2 linked regions of the Oreochromis niloticus genome follow. The protein of the gene in region 1 purifies or fractionates together with the protein of each later gene. This does not show direct contact. Links are inferred from orthologs where the notes say so. Each region holds a gene or a part of one and is shown in the gene's direction. Other genes may lie near its edges.

The links.
Region 2: the proteins of ryk (region 1) and adgra3 purify together in Homo sapiens (affinity purification with mass spectrometry; 3 studies listed by BioGRID and IntAct, with this or other methods). This does not show direct contact. The link is inferred for Oreochromis niloticus from reciprocal best matches to the Homo sapiens genes RYK and ADGRA3.

Annotation. Positions count from the first base shown.
Region 1 is NC_031986.2:32,534,996-32,541,912, forward strand, and holds the start of ryk (tyrosine-protein kinase RYK), read left to right. Parts: upstream 1-3,910; 5' UTR 3,911-4,392; coding exon 4,393-4,600; intron 4,601-6,917. Other genes in the region: sned1 (sushi, nidogen and EGF-like domain-containing protein 1), read left to right, coding at 1-43, 132-157. UniProt on the Homo sapiens protein: May be a coreceptor along with FZD8 of Wnt proteins, such as WNT1, WNT3, WNT3A and WNT5A. Involved in neuron differentiation, axon guidance, corpus callosum establishment and neurite outgrowth.
Region 2 is NC_031967.2:12,246,556-12,254,570, forward strand, and holds the start of adgra3 (adhesion G protein-coupled receptor A3), read left to right. Parts: upstream 1-5,015; 5' UTR 5,016-5,842; coding exon 5,843-6,057; intron 6,058-8,015. Other genes in the region: gba3 (cytosolic beta-glucosidase), read right to left, coding at 358-481, 1,171-1,973, 2,082-2,306, 3,489-3,543. UniProt on the Homo sapiens protein: Orphan receptor that may have a role in planar cell polarity pathway.

The DNA of each region.
Region 1 (6,917 bases):
TATCGAGAGATTTGTGAACCGACGCCTTCCAAGAAGAGTCAGAGTGAGTTAAACAATCTGTCTGCGCAATATTTTTAAGACGATAAACCAATGCAATGCTGTTCATATACCAACTTTAACTGTCTTAACAGCCAGAAGAACAAACACACAACAATAAAGGTTTGTGATTTTTTTTCAGCCCTTCTTATGAACTGCTATTGTAGAGGATCACAAGATTTTCAGCACTTACCCTCAAAATGAGACTTTTCTTTTTTCTCTCTCTCTAGAGCACTTGGAGCCTGATGAAAGGACTGTCATCACTGTCATGTGAAAAACCTCCTTACTTCAATTTTGGTGTTTATAATCTACTTGAAGTAACTGATTATGGTCATTTTTTTGTGCTGAAAAACCCTGTCAGAGCCCACTGTAACATTTCACAAACAAACCATCAACCATCTGAATATGAGGCTGCATCCCGAGAGTTGCCTTTGTAGCTCGCGGAAGCACGATCAGTCAGATGAAAAACGTCCCGCATCATGTATCATTTGCAGTGTTTGCTGACTGAGTTTCATGCAACCACATATGGTATGCAAATATGAACCCTAAGCAGTCAACTGCACTGCATCAGAGACCTTATATACCTCATTTCAACGTCCAATGCTGACACATTTGGAGAGGTTTACGTTTGTGATTCAGCTGCAGGTTTGTCCCTCAGGGAAGTAAAAGCAGAGTCTTTTCCTTACATCAGTCCCATCATCTCCTTACGAAGACAGCAGGAAATGTGTACTTTCACCCTTAAACTGATCTCGTCCTCTGACAATGATGCACAGCGTTTTCTGTGTAGAATATCTTCCTCTGTGTCTCAGCAGGCGTCGCTGCTCGCTAATCTGTAAATAGTGTTTATAGGCCATTTTGTAGGTGAATATTTTAATAATAAAAATGTTAAAATGATTCCTGGTGTGTGTGTGTTGCAGTTCTTGCCATCATTTGTCACACTGTGTTGAATCTATCATGTTTTGACAGCATCGAAAACTATACTAAAAGTATTTTATTAACAGATTAAAGGAGAGCAGTTGTACTCATTTTTAGCTCCATTTCACTGTTTTTGGAATCTATTACAGTAGCTTAGCACAATTTAGCATTATTTCATGGCTCACAATAATCTTTATCTTAAACTGGGGCTTGGTGCAGTGCCTCAGTTCGCCCTCTGTCTGAAACAAGCTGGTTTGGATCATGTCTTTTAATTTGTTGCCCCTCATAAATGGTTTGAATAGCAGGTAGGTGGAGTTGTGTGCCACAGATGACCATATTAGGGACATCCTGTTTCACTGATAGGCATCATGCAAAGCCAGAGTAGGAAAGAAATGTCCATAGGCTATGTGCAAAAGATGGATGTGACCACCTTGGCATCTATATTTTGAAGACTCAGAGTTTTAGGCATGACTATATTTGTGTTTGTCTGTTTGTTTTGTGCTTTTTTAGAGCTATAAATTACCATATTTAGAGATTGCTAAGCTATCAGCTAACACTGACAACTTAGTTTATTAGTACTTTTGTGTGGTGCTAATAAAGTGGTATTTATAAATTGTACAGCGGCTCACAGAAATGGAGATGTTTTCTGATTAATGCCAAACCAACATCCAAATAAACATCGTGGAATTTCACTCGTTAAACACAGACTGCTTGGATGGTGTGCACTTTACAGCAAGCCAGATGACTGCATTAAAACCGCTACAAAATACACCAACAGCTCAAACACGGTTAAGTGCTACAGTTTAATGATACTGCTTGGTAAAGGTGAAGCCTAAGAGACAGACCAGTAATTATCCGCTTGTTATAAAGGAGGAAATGAACTACAGAGCTCAAAATCTTTACCAGGCTGTAAAAGTATTGTTTATATAGCTGAAATTGGCTATTTTAACATTAGAATCTGTGGAAACTGACTCACTTTTGGAGCCAGCCTTTAAGAATCTGAGCAACTGCAGTTTTTGGTTCACTGAGACTAACTCTGCAATCTGAAGCTTGAGTTTTTGGCTCCCAACGTCACTCCCTGGCTACTTTTAATATGAGCATCCACCTGTGTTACAGTATAAGTTTGACAGAAAATAAGGAAAAGTAGAATATTTTCATTTTAAGAAGAGAAAACACCCATAACTTTGTTTACTCTGTTAATGGAGACGTTTTTTGTTTTTTTTTTAAGTTTACTACTGAACGTCACTACTCTTCTCTTTGTTCCTGTGTGTGTCTGGATTATTGAGTTACTGAAGCATGCAAAAGTGGGCGGAGATGCAAAATTAAAGACTCCAAATCCAAACTTTAGCTTTAATCATTAAATTAGACCAATTTGGGACATACTTCATGAAAGAAAACAGAGCATGGGCATGCCTTGGGTTTTGTTAATCAATTACCCCAGTCAGAAAGGAGACTGCTCTATCAGAACCATCACCACATAACAAAAGCTTCCTCGCTGCTGTAATTTGTCTGCCTAACGCCCTGTAGTCATGAGTCTCTAGCTCTGCCAAAGTGACTCTTCTAAGCCTCAGGCTATATACAGACAGGGGTCAAATTAAAGGCAAATGTAAACTAAATAAAGAAGAAAAAAAAGAAAGATGATGAAGGGCCACTGATCGATGAGAAAATAATATGAATCATATTTACCAGAATTCAAATATGATTCGGAGGCAGATGAAATATTAATTTGCCATATTAGACCCACTTGTTTACTGCCTTAAAGAGAAGCCTCACACCAGAGCCACTGGGGTATTGTTTATATTGCAGTGGAACAGCAGATAAGGACACTGCAGTGAGTGTCACAACAACTGGATGTTCTCAAGTAAATGACATGCCCTCCATGCCAAAAGTCCAAAGCTGAACAGACAGTGAAGCAAGACATTTCAAAGAGAACTTCCACTGAAACTGAGAAGCTGTGCCATCCAGATCCTTTAAGGATTTTGAAAAACTTCTTGAGGACCTAAAGTTGTTTCATCAATATATCTTTGAACTGTTATACAGAACATGTAAACAACAAAGTGGTTTCTCCCTTTCACATCTGCTGGACTCAGAGACCAGTGTTGCTAATCCAGGAAACCTTGTTTCAGTGAAAATGAGCTATCTTTGTGTGGGGTTATATGACTGGAAAGAGGTGTTGTTGGTGCTCTGATAATGTTTTTAAATCATTGATCTCATGAGTTCAAATATGTAAATTTCTTTGTGAACTTAAACCTAAAAAGTGATGTTATTCTTTTATTAAACAATTATTTTTTTCAGTTTTTCTCCTAAATATATCTTTTTTTTTTTTATATTTTTGTTCATTTTTTCTTTTATTTTCCTTTTATCTCCTTGTAGATTTATTTTTAATTTTGCCGTTTTTTACTAAAAGAAAAGGTATTATTTTTTGTGAATTCTAAATTTGTCTTGTAAATATTTCCCTCACAATTTATTTAATTTTAAAAAATAAATATGTCTGGGGGTTTTTAATCACACGGTTTCAACTTTTTCCTCTTCAGTTTGCCTTTTCATAAATATTACATTTTGTCACATAAAATTTCCATTTATCTCATAAATTTAAATAATTTATATCAATCTGGAACTTTTTGCCATACATTTTTATCTTTTGTCATTATAGCTTTTTCTTATGCTTTTTTTCCTTTTGTTTTAAATTTGACTGCTTTTTTTCTTTTTTCATACACTTTACAATTATTTTCTTGTAAATTTACAACCTCAATCACCAACCCAACAAAAAAACATTTTTTTTAAACTGCCATCGAGATAAAGTCGATCTCTTTTCCACTTTATGCATTCTTTATATTGTTATTTGAGGCATGCCTATCTTTTAATGTAGAAATTATTATAATAATAAATAAATGACATTAACTTGATGTTTCTTTATTGTCCTCTGGCTGTGATATTTCCGACAGCACGTGAAGGCAGCAGAAGCCAGAGCGCTGCGCGCCCCCGTTGCCCCCCTTCCTGCCCGGAGTGAAAACTGAGAGGAAAAAGCGTCGGGAGCAGAGACCATGGAGGGGGAAAGCTGGATGTATTAGCTAGTTTGTTGCTTAGGGCACTTTTCACTCTTCTTTCGCTTCTACCCACAGAAATCAAAGCGTCTCAATGTGGCGATATCCGGTGTGTATTTTACGTGGCTCGTAAATCTCCTGAACAGTCAAACAATCAACTGCGAGTCGGACCGCGGACGGTTAGCACAGCCCGACTGAAAGTTAGCCCGCTCCGGCTAACTTAGCCCACTCCAGCTACCACGAAGGGACAAAAAACTAAAAACACGATAGTGAGTAAGAGTGTCGGGGCTTGAAGTAACTCGTAATGTTGCCTCCCGGGATTAATTTCAGATACGGATGAGAAAGAAATTCTCTGGGAACAGCGAGAACAACAGCGAGCCAGACAACCACCGTCGTTATGCTGGGGTTGATCCGCGGCTCCGGCAGCCCGTCCGAGTCCCGAGTGTGGCCGCACTCGGTGCTCTGGAGGCTGGGGGGCTTCTTCTTCCTGCTGCTGCTGGAAGGGGCCGGCTGCCTGGCCAGCCCGGGCAGCCCCGTAGGCGTCAACAACAACAACCCCGGAGTCAACATCTACATGAGTGTGGAGGAGGTGAAGAAGCTCCTGGGTAAGAAGGCCTGCATAGTAATCCAGCTGTGTTCAAACTTTGCAATCAGTCCACTTGTGTATGTGTTTGTGTGCCCCTCACATCTGTAAATTTAGCTTTAAAACTTGGACAAACTCCACCGAACTGTTACAGCTAATTGTGCAGGTACATTATATTAATCATTTACAGCTGTGATTCTTTTATATTATTTTTTTCTAGGGTTTCCTCTGTATTTGTAAAAGTAAAAAAAACTCACTTTTTTTCTGGCAAATTTGTGAGTTTTCTCTTCTAATTGTGTTAGTTTTTCATAAAATAATATTTTTTCTTGTAAAATTGCCCCCTTTCCCGTATATTTCACCGTTTTTGTCTTTTGAAATTTCCTTTTTAATCCTAAATTTGCCAGTTTTTGTCTAATTGATTCGTCAATTAGTTTGTGGGGGTAAATGTTTCTGTTTTACTCGTAAATGTTTCAGTTTTTCTCGTGAATTTGCATTTTTTTGGGGGGGTTCCCCCTAAAAATTTGCTCGTGAATCAGACGTTTTCTTTTACTTTTCTCCTTTTTTGTGTCGTATTGTTGCACATTTATTGTCTAATTAATTTATCCGTTTTACTAGGAAATGTAGGACTTTAAAAAATATTTTAAGTTTATCATTTATATTCTTGTAAATTGTCAAGTTTTGTCTTAATTTAAGACTTTTTTTTTTAAAAGATTTTTTTTCTAATTGCCAATTTGTCCTTGAATTTTTTTTTCCGTTCTATTTGGTAAATTTGCAAGTTATTTCTTGAATAATTATTTATATTTTTCCTCATGAATTTATTAGTTAAGTACCAGTGTCACTGATGAGGCGTCATTACTGTACATGTGCAGGTCAAAGTAACCTTTACATGTTTCTGATATGTTGTGATATAATTGGTCATCATTTTTTTTATGTTGGGGTTGGTCAGTGTATAAGGTTGTGTCTCGTGATTGTTATGATGTTGCTGATTAGGATTAATTGTAGAGTGGCATTAGAACATCAGCAGAATAATCTAAAGTGCTTGTTGTTATCTCATGACAGTGCCGCTGTTGGTGCAAGCCATCAGTGTTATGTTGGTCTAACACTGTCTAAATGTTTAAAATCATAGTGCCAAGGTGAAGCCAGCCTGTGAATCGGTCCTAAGTTGTTAATGGAGGGTTTGCTTTAGAAGTGTTGAACGTGCACTTTGAAACCAGTCATTTACCATGTGCACATCTAATGAAGGGGTAGAAGTGTTTGTATGTAATGTCCCTGTGGAGGGAGGAATCTCGTGTTGCAGCTCCTGCTAACTGACGTCTTCCTTTCGATAAACGAGTCATCTTAGAGTCGCATTAGCAGAATTACATTGTTTCTGTTGGGGAATCTTTTGGGAAGTACCTCCAGTTGCATCCAGCTTTTTTAACTGGACCGTGTGCTGGTAAACCTCCCTGTGTATGGGCCTAATTTATAGTAGGGACTTTTGGGATGTGGTGTTAAATCATTTGTTTGAGAATGACCGGCACTGTTGTTTGATTAGTTATTGAACAAGTGGTTATTTTTTTGAGGTTACATGTATTTATCACCAGGGATTAGCAGATTAAAGTCTAAAAAAAATGACAATACCTTTAAGATATTTAAGGAAGCCATGCAAAATTTGACTTTCATACTATGAATATTTTGCCAGCTACAGGCCCTCAAAGAATTTAGGGTTTGATGGGGAAAAATACCCGTTTAGTTTTCTTTTTCCATAGTTTTTGAGCCCTTAAGTCTTCGTAAGTACAGGAGATAGTCTCATGAAGTCTTCAGGGCTGTTCTTCTGCATCACTATGTGAATGTCTCCTGTACTTTTGAATCTACGGGAGCTCCGAAAGGCTGAAGTAGTAATGTAAATTTAAAATTTTTTTTAATTTTGACCTTGATGTACTTGGAGGCTTTCTAACACATGAATTCAAATATTCATAATATCATGGTAAATGTTTCTGTGTGTAAATTTAATATCCTAAACTTAATGTCCAAAAAATATTTGCTGATTTTGAGGGGTCAGGTAGGGACTTTTTCCAGATTTAATTTTATATGGAGTGACTGTGCCGTGTATAATTGCAGGAAATGTAACGAGAATTTCCTAAATTTTCAAAGAAAGGACTGTAGTCTCCCTGCCAAAATTATGCCCCCACCATTTCCCAAATTAAACCCGTGTGTCCTCATGCCACATACATTCAGTATTTCATTGCCTGCAGCCTTGACGAGTTAACTGCCCCTGCACCAAAGTACCACCCTTTGTGCTTTCTCTCTCCTCTCTGACTGGTGTTGGATCGTTGGCTGACTCTGTCCCTTTGGGTTCC
Region 2 (8,015 bases), on another chromosome or scaffold:
TAGCAAAAACCTGTTTTTTACTAGGTCCACTGCACTTGTTAGCGGGCTTATGTATTAAAACACGGACATGTATGTTCATTTATGTTATTCTTTTTATCTTCATCATAAAAAGTATAAATAAAAACCTTTTGATACGACACAAACAGTCTTGGGAAACCAAATTTATGATAAATGATAGCAAGAAGATTAAAGGTACATCAGACCAAATAAATGTTTTTGTTTTAAACAAGACTAAATTTGTCAATTTGGAGAAGCTGCAGAATTAAAATGATATTTTAACCATTATTTTCCAGATTCGCATGCTTTTCATTTTTTAAATACGCAGGATTTACGCAGTCCCGATTTACTAGCCATTACCTTTTGCCACTTCTGAGATGGTGTCCTTGTAATACACACAGCGCTGGGCATCCTCGATCTGCAGTGGCCCCACCTGAGAGAAACCATTCTCTGTAATGTAGATCGCTGGGTTGTTGAAAGTGTCCTGCAAAGTCAGAGGGCAAATATTATTGTCAAACAAGGCATCACAGCCTGTCAGGCATTCCAGGGAGAGACAGATTGGTCTACAGTGTGCCGTTCAGCTGCGTTTCAACGGTGCCAGGCTCAGACTAATGGCGTGTGACAAGTCACAACAGCAGGAAATTGCTCGTTTGCAAACACTTTTCAGCAAAGTAACTGTTTCATTCAATGTGACAGCACTAATGAAGCATCAGTGTGTTTCTGGAGGTGTCGAAAAGAGATTGCTGCATGCAAAATCAATAGTGAGACACTAAACAAATGCCAGTGTTCTCCTCGTACGGTTGAAGGTGATCTATCTTGTTGCTGGTCAATTCATTTTGAGCACCGACTTTACTTTTCCGCAAGGTGAATCCAAACTGTAATGAAAGAATTTGGTCGGCCCTTGGTTTGGGTTATTTTTAGTGTTATATATTAGTGTAAAATTGTTCATTTTTACATTTTTGGACTCTATTGCAGTAGCTGTGCATGGCTCACAGTTTAAAATAATCCTTATTTATGTTATGCTGGGACTGGTGAATTATCTTAGTCAATCATTTATCTGAAACAAGCAGTTTATACTCCCTCCCCCCACTTTTTAAGGAAACTTTCTTCTGATTGGCTGCCCCACACAGACTAACCAAAAGAAAAAAAAAGATTTTTAAGAAAAAGTTTTACCTTAATGTACTTTAGGAGTTTCCTCAAGCCATCCGGCACTACAGCCAGCCAGGACAGTCCACTGATGGGCCAGGATGAATCCAAAACTTCCTCTGTATCTTTGTCACCCTTCATACACAACATCTTTTCACAACCTCCTCCTGGTTTGACTTTGCGAGACGTGTAGTAGTTCAACGCAAAGAAGTCGGCAGTTCCCAGAATGGCAGATTCATCCTTGGAGAAACTGGGGAGCCTTGAGGCTGCATTGTATCCTAGCTTCTTACTTTGAGCGTCTATAGCAGATCTCATTATTTCTGGATAATCACCGGTAACAAACACAGGCCAGGCGAACCATCCCAGTGTAAATGCAAGGTCACGTTCAGTAGCAGCAAAGTCCTCGGGGCAACCTTGGTTTAATGGCTCATACCAGTCGCTGTTGAGGGCAATAGACACGGCACCTTTCTGCTCTGACCTGTAGCGAGAATTGTAGCTGTGCCAGGCCATGGCGTGGGCCCGCAGCATGTTGTGTCCTACCAGGTAGGCAGCGGTGCCTTTCTCTTTTAACCCTGGGGCATGGATGCCGTCTTCGTGTCCCAGTTTGGCGCACACTTGTGGCTCATTGATAGTGATCCAAAGTTTGACACGGTCCCCAAATGTTTGGAAACAAAACTGAGCATAGTTGTCAAAGAGGCTGGCTATACCAGGTGATTTCCAGCCTCCCTGGTCTTGCAGAGCTTGAGGCAGGTCAAAGTGGTAAAGGGTAACCATCGGTGAGACATTTGAGGTTAGCAAATCATCAATCACTTTGTTGTAGTATTGCACACCTGTTGAACAGAGAGTGCCATAAATGGGTAATGAGATACAATTGCCTAAAGCCATCAAATAGGCCTGGATCTAATTCCAGCATGTGTGTTTCAGGTCTATGAAAATACCTTTCTGATTGACATGTTGCGTGGTCCCATCAGGCAGGAGGCGGGCCCAGGAGAAAGACAGGCGATAGTGTGTCAGTCCAAGCTGCTGGATACACTCCAGGTCTTTCTCCCACAGCTCATAGCTGTTACAGGCCACATCTCCATTCTGGTCCCCAAACACTCTGCCTTTCTCATGACAAAATGTGTCCCAGATACTCGGTCCCTTGCCGTCCGATTGCCAGCCACCTGAGCGAGCACGTAAAGGTTGTTCAGAAAAACAGGTAAAGTGCTGATATATAGAAATATCACTCTGATGTTCCTTCTGAGGCTTTTAGAGTGTCCGTGGATTTATTGTGACAGCATCTAAGACGTCATCGACTCTAGCATTTATTTACTTTCATCTAATTACATAAGTGTGTTAAAGACTGTATTAGTCTGCCAATATTTTTTTTATGTGTGCCAAATGAGTGACAAATGTAAGGAACAACTCAAAAAATGTGGGGAGAAATACAAGTAAAGGGCAGAAACAGTGATCAGAGGAACACATTCAACTTAGTTTTATACCACCAAATCACAACAACAGTCGCGTGTAGGTGCTTTATATTGGAAGGTAAAGGTCCTACAATAATAAAAAGAAATGTCCAAGAATCAGACAACCATCACAATCAGACATGGTAAAAGTAGGAAGGAAAAACTGCCTTTTAACAGGAAGAAACCTCCGGCAGAACCAGGCTCAGGGATGGGCAGCTATCTCCTGCAACCAGTTAGGGGTTAGGGGAAGGAAACAAACGGCTGTGTTTTTTGTTGCATTAGTGTATTGAAAACCAGAAAAAGAGCCATTCTTCCTCAGGTGACTGACAATGACAATATGGGATATGATCAGACTGTGTCACAGAACACAAAAAGTAATATGGTGGAGAGAGATGAACCAGCCTTAACCATATTCTTCAGTGCACATAGGCATGAAAGCGTCATGGGGGGTTCCATGATGACAGTGCATAGATGCATGAGCCATACAGGTCACCGAATGGTTTGGTGAATAAGAAAATTATATGAATCACAGACTTAAGGCCCGTTTAGTCACCAGATCTCATGAAGCTAAACATCAGTGGGAGATTTTAGACCAACATTAGAAAATGCCCTGTTACACCAATGTCAAAACAACAAATGAGGAAATGATGAATAAATTTTCACCTATCTGTATCTCCAATATAATCAGTGCAATGGTTACTATTTATTTACACATGCTTAAGTTTCACCAAACACTCATTTAAAGCATGTTACAGCGTCAATAGCGCCAATATTTACCAAGTGAAGTAGTCACGGTAAAGCGAATTACATTAGAGGTTCTCGGAATGTAAAGGCCCTCTCTCTCTCCCACTCCATGACAGTTATCACTGCTCCATTCAGAAACTTGTGTTTACATACCTTCTATTTGATACGCAGACGTTGCCGCTCCCCATGCAAAGTCACGTGGGAACATGTTTTTGTGCCTTAGGACGCTGAAACAAAGGTGTTCCTATATCTTAGCGCGTCATGCTTTTATCTATCTGAAATGTAATACACAAAGCTATTTGTCTCCCTACAAAGCGGACGTTTTTTTGTTTTGTTTTGTTTTTGCTCCATGTGGCATTGCAGCCATTAACGTCCACAGACCAGGAACTACTGCGAGATGTGACGTTTCGTAAATCACGTATAGAAGATTTCATCCAGTACGAGAAACTCCGAAGATAATTATCTCGCTGGATTTTGCTTTTTTCCACAATGCCACTACTGTAATACTAGCTTAATGCTGTTATTAAATAATAATAAATCAAAAACACATTAGTTCACGGGATTCGGTCTTTTCATGTTCAAAATTTAGGGCAGGAATGTGGGATTAAGAAATGATCCGAGGTGCACCTGAAAGCACCGCAAGAATGAGTCGAGGGTTGCGATGAAATCAAAGGCTGTTGCCAGCTTGGTAAATTAGTAAAAGTCTATTTTGCAGTCAAGCAGAGCAACTCTGTGAGTTTCTGCGTGTGTGTTTGTGGTATTAATTTAAAAAAATGTAACAAATAACGTAAATTCAAATAGTAAAGACCCAAATATTACGACGTAATTAACAACTTGGACGAAGTATTTGTTTCGATAGCATAAGAAATGTAGAATGAACTATAGTTATAACATATATGATATTTATTCCATAAAAAGCCCCACTTATATTAGCTTTATTATGTTCCAACAAACGTGTAGCCTACATTTCACCACCCGGATTTTTAAAATAACAACAATGTAGTTTTGCATACTCTTTAGGCCCTTTTATCTGCACCTCCGTATCATATACAGTCTATCGTTAAGCCTCGCACGGGTTCTAATAATAAGCAAAGGACTTGTGCCCACTTTACTGCTGTAGTACAGTTTTCTATATGATGAAGTGAATCATTTGATCTCATCAAAATGAACACAATAGACTGCGACAAGAGGGCAAACAAATACTATCAGATTATCAAGAGTATTACATTCTCAACTCGGTGGAGTGGAAAGATTCAAACGTCTGAATCAGGGCAAAAACAAATCCTTATCATGGCTTTCATGTGAACTGCAAACTGGACCAAACGACCAGAGGTGGAAGTACAGATCGTGTATTACAATAAAAGTAGCAAGAAAAACATAAACACTCACTTTAGTCCTGCAACAGCAGTATTTTTTTATGTTCACCATATTTTTTATGGTGGGAATATGCCCCCTTATCGCATTTTTATATCGCAGGTTTATATTTTAAATGCTATATTACTTATGCTGATAGTTTTACATGTAACTGCGGACTGTTTGGTGATGTGCAACAGGTACATATCCAAAAAAGACACTTTTAACAGTTCCTTTGCGTTCAACCAATAAACCACATAGACGCAATCATACCCCAAACTCAAAGGAAGTCATCTGCTGGTGCTTTTATTATGAAATGCGGACCGGATGTGGTTTAGAATCCGCTCGGCCTTGACCGCCCCTGACTTCAGTGGCTCCCGGGGCAGGACCATGGGACTAGTAGGACTTCTCAATGGAAAGAAGACTAGTTTTAAATATTTTCTAAAGACACCGGTTAACAAAACGGACACGCCGACTACTCTGGATACGTTATTATACAATTTTTAGTGTATTTTTCCCTCATTGGTAGCACAATTTAAGCTAAAACCGTTGTTGTTTTTGCGCTCTGTTTTTTTTCCTCAAAGTAATTTCCTGTTCATGACCGGGGGCGAGAATTTGCACGCTTGTTTGTCGTCCCGTACGTGTTTCGAAGTAATGGGAAATTTAAAGTGAGCGTTTAAAAAGCCCGACCGCGTTTCCTGAAGTTGGGAGCGGATAACCTGGGATGACTGCAGCCGCCTCCTTTGGATAAGACAACACACTGACTTGGACCCACGCTATGGGCAACAAAGGGAACCTCTCAACAACTGGGCTAGTTATTTAGCTACCAGGGAGGATACTCGGCATTTGAAATGTGGTAAATTTGCAGAGCTGGGAGGAAATGGAAGCCGGTGCCAGCATGGAAAGGGAATTCTAAATGAGTCGTTTTCCAAACAAAGAAGGACACCTCCGTCGGACTGAACACCGCCGAGCAAAGGGAAAGCCTTGCGAGAAATGGAGGAGGAAGGCTCGCTTGAGCCAAACAACATACTTGCAAAGGTCTCATTCTTCTTTGCCCGGTTCTAGCAACATCTACCCGCCCGCCGTTTCTGTTATCAAAACATTGTTTCCTTCGCCGGTGCTGCAGTGCTTTTCTGGTCGCGTGTGAATTAAAAATGAGGGTGGATCGTTTGCAGTTGTTTGGGATTTTGCTGCTGCTGAGCGGCTGCTGTGGCTCGGCGGCATCATCCGCGTGCAAATCGTTTGATGAAAACTCGAAAAGCGGTGGGAAAATCGTGCCGTCCTACAAGAAAGTGGTCTGCAGCAACATGGAGCTCCATCAGGTGTTGCCCCCGGACTCTCTCTCTTTCCCGAACAGAACAGTGACACTGTGAGTACATACATACAGATGCATGCTGTGAAAACACATCCCATCAGCCACTAGATTCACTTTATTCTCAATAAGGACTGTTTCTTTCCTGAAAGTTAATGTTACTGGAACTGTTTGCGACGTCTTAATAACCACCTTATCCCCCTTATTCATACTGCACAAACATGAAAAGATAAATATAGCTTGATAAGCTGACCACAAACTATCATTTCACAGCTATATACTGTAAATAGCAGTGTAAATACTAACCTTGTGTAACAGTAACCCCTTCCTGTTATGCAGTGATTTATGCAGAGGCTGCTAAATTACACACATGCCAGCATAAATGTAAGAGCTCATAGGTTATGGATGTGATTCTTTTTCCACCTGGTTTTACTCTGGCGTGGTTAGATCCTGACAGCACACCTGGCTAACACTAGCCAGGTGCCCTTTTTTTTTTTTTCTTCAAGAATTACACTTTTAAAGTTTAGTTTTAGGTTGTTGCCAGGTTGGTAGGTAGCCACTACAGTAATATGGCCTTACATCAGAAGCAGGCTTTGAGGCTGTGCAACCACTGCTTCTCCATCAGTGTCATTGATTAAAGTTGCTGGTCATTGTGTGGCAGTCAGCAGGGATGAAACGCACACCGAGACACAAGCTGCTGATTGATTGAGGCCTTTGTGTTGTGTCAAGTCAGAGCAGATTTAACCAATTGACACTCTGGTTTTGGTCTATCACTGAGCATTTGACAGGGAAAAATAAATAAAAAGGAATTTGAATAATCTTGACAGTAAGTTGAAGCTGTGTGCACCCCAGAGCTCTTGTACTTTGCGGTGGTGGTGTGCAATGGGGGAAATATGAGAATACCAGGGCAGGGTGCAGGGGTGGAAAGCAAATAATGGACTCCCAGGAGGGAAAGAAAGGCAGAGGATTGGCTGGTAATAAAGAGTTGTAAGACGATTGCAGTGCATGTTTTTAAGAGCTTTACCATAAGTCACTTGTTAGATTTGAGGCAACTTCCAAAGGTGCATGTTTAAAAAAAAAAAAATGTTAATTTGTATTTTTTTCAGGACACGACTCGACTGCATTTGCAGATATTTGAAACTTTCTTGTGTGGGATGAGACTTGAAAATCAGCCCATGAGCACAGTTTCTGCACAGATGTTGTTAAGTTTGGAGTTGGGGTTTATGTCCAGAGTAATTTTATCAAGTAACTGGAGCCCAAAAAACATCCAAATTAGGCCTGTATAGTGTATCCTGGGTGGAGCTCCACAACTGGCAGTCATTCAACCAAGTGTTATTACCGAAAGCACTGGTCCAAAAACACAGACTGCACGCTTCTCCTTATGATTAAATGTCCCATTAAACAAAGCATTTATATTGTGTGTCAGTTGTTTTCTTTACTGTACGGCACCAAGAAGCCATGAGGAGTGCATTGTGAGTCCTTCCAAAATTACTCCAGCACATGCCTGCTGTGATGTTACTGGTGGGTAGAATCAAACCTCATATTCAAGCTTCTCGCTAACACAGGAATAGATCATATGGGTGAGTTTACTGTGTGCGAATTATTAGTATTAGGGCAGATTAACCATTACCTGCACAGACTATGGGATGTCTCATTGCAGTTTAGCTTAAAAAAACAAGCTCTTACTTATTTCAAAGGATGGTAAGCAGAATGGACAAGTAGACAATATCCCTAGTAAACTGGAATAAAACACTTGTATGGCTCTTGAATTAAAAAGAAAAAGAAAAATTCCACTCCTTTTATTTTTATTTTCAGGAAGGATTTATGGAATTAGTGCTAGGTATGGTGTGTTCTGAAGTAATGTAGTGGGCCCTCCCTTCTGTTTGCTTTGTCTTTATGTGTACAGTGAGCTTGTAGTCTCTCATCACACTCTGACAATGATGGATTGGAGGTTGAGCCCGGTTGCTCATGATTTAGCGCTGAGCTCCAGAGAACAAGAGCAATGTAATTTGAGA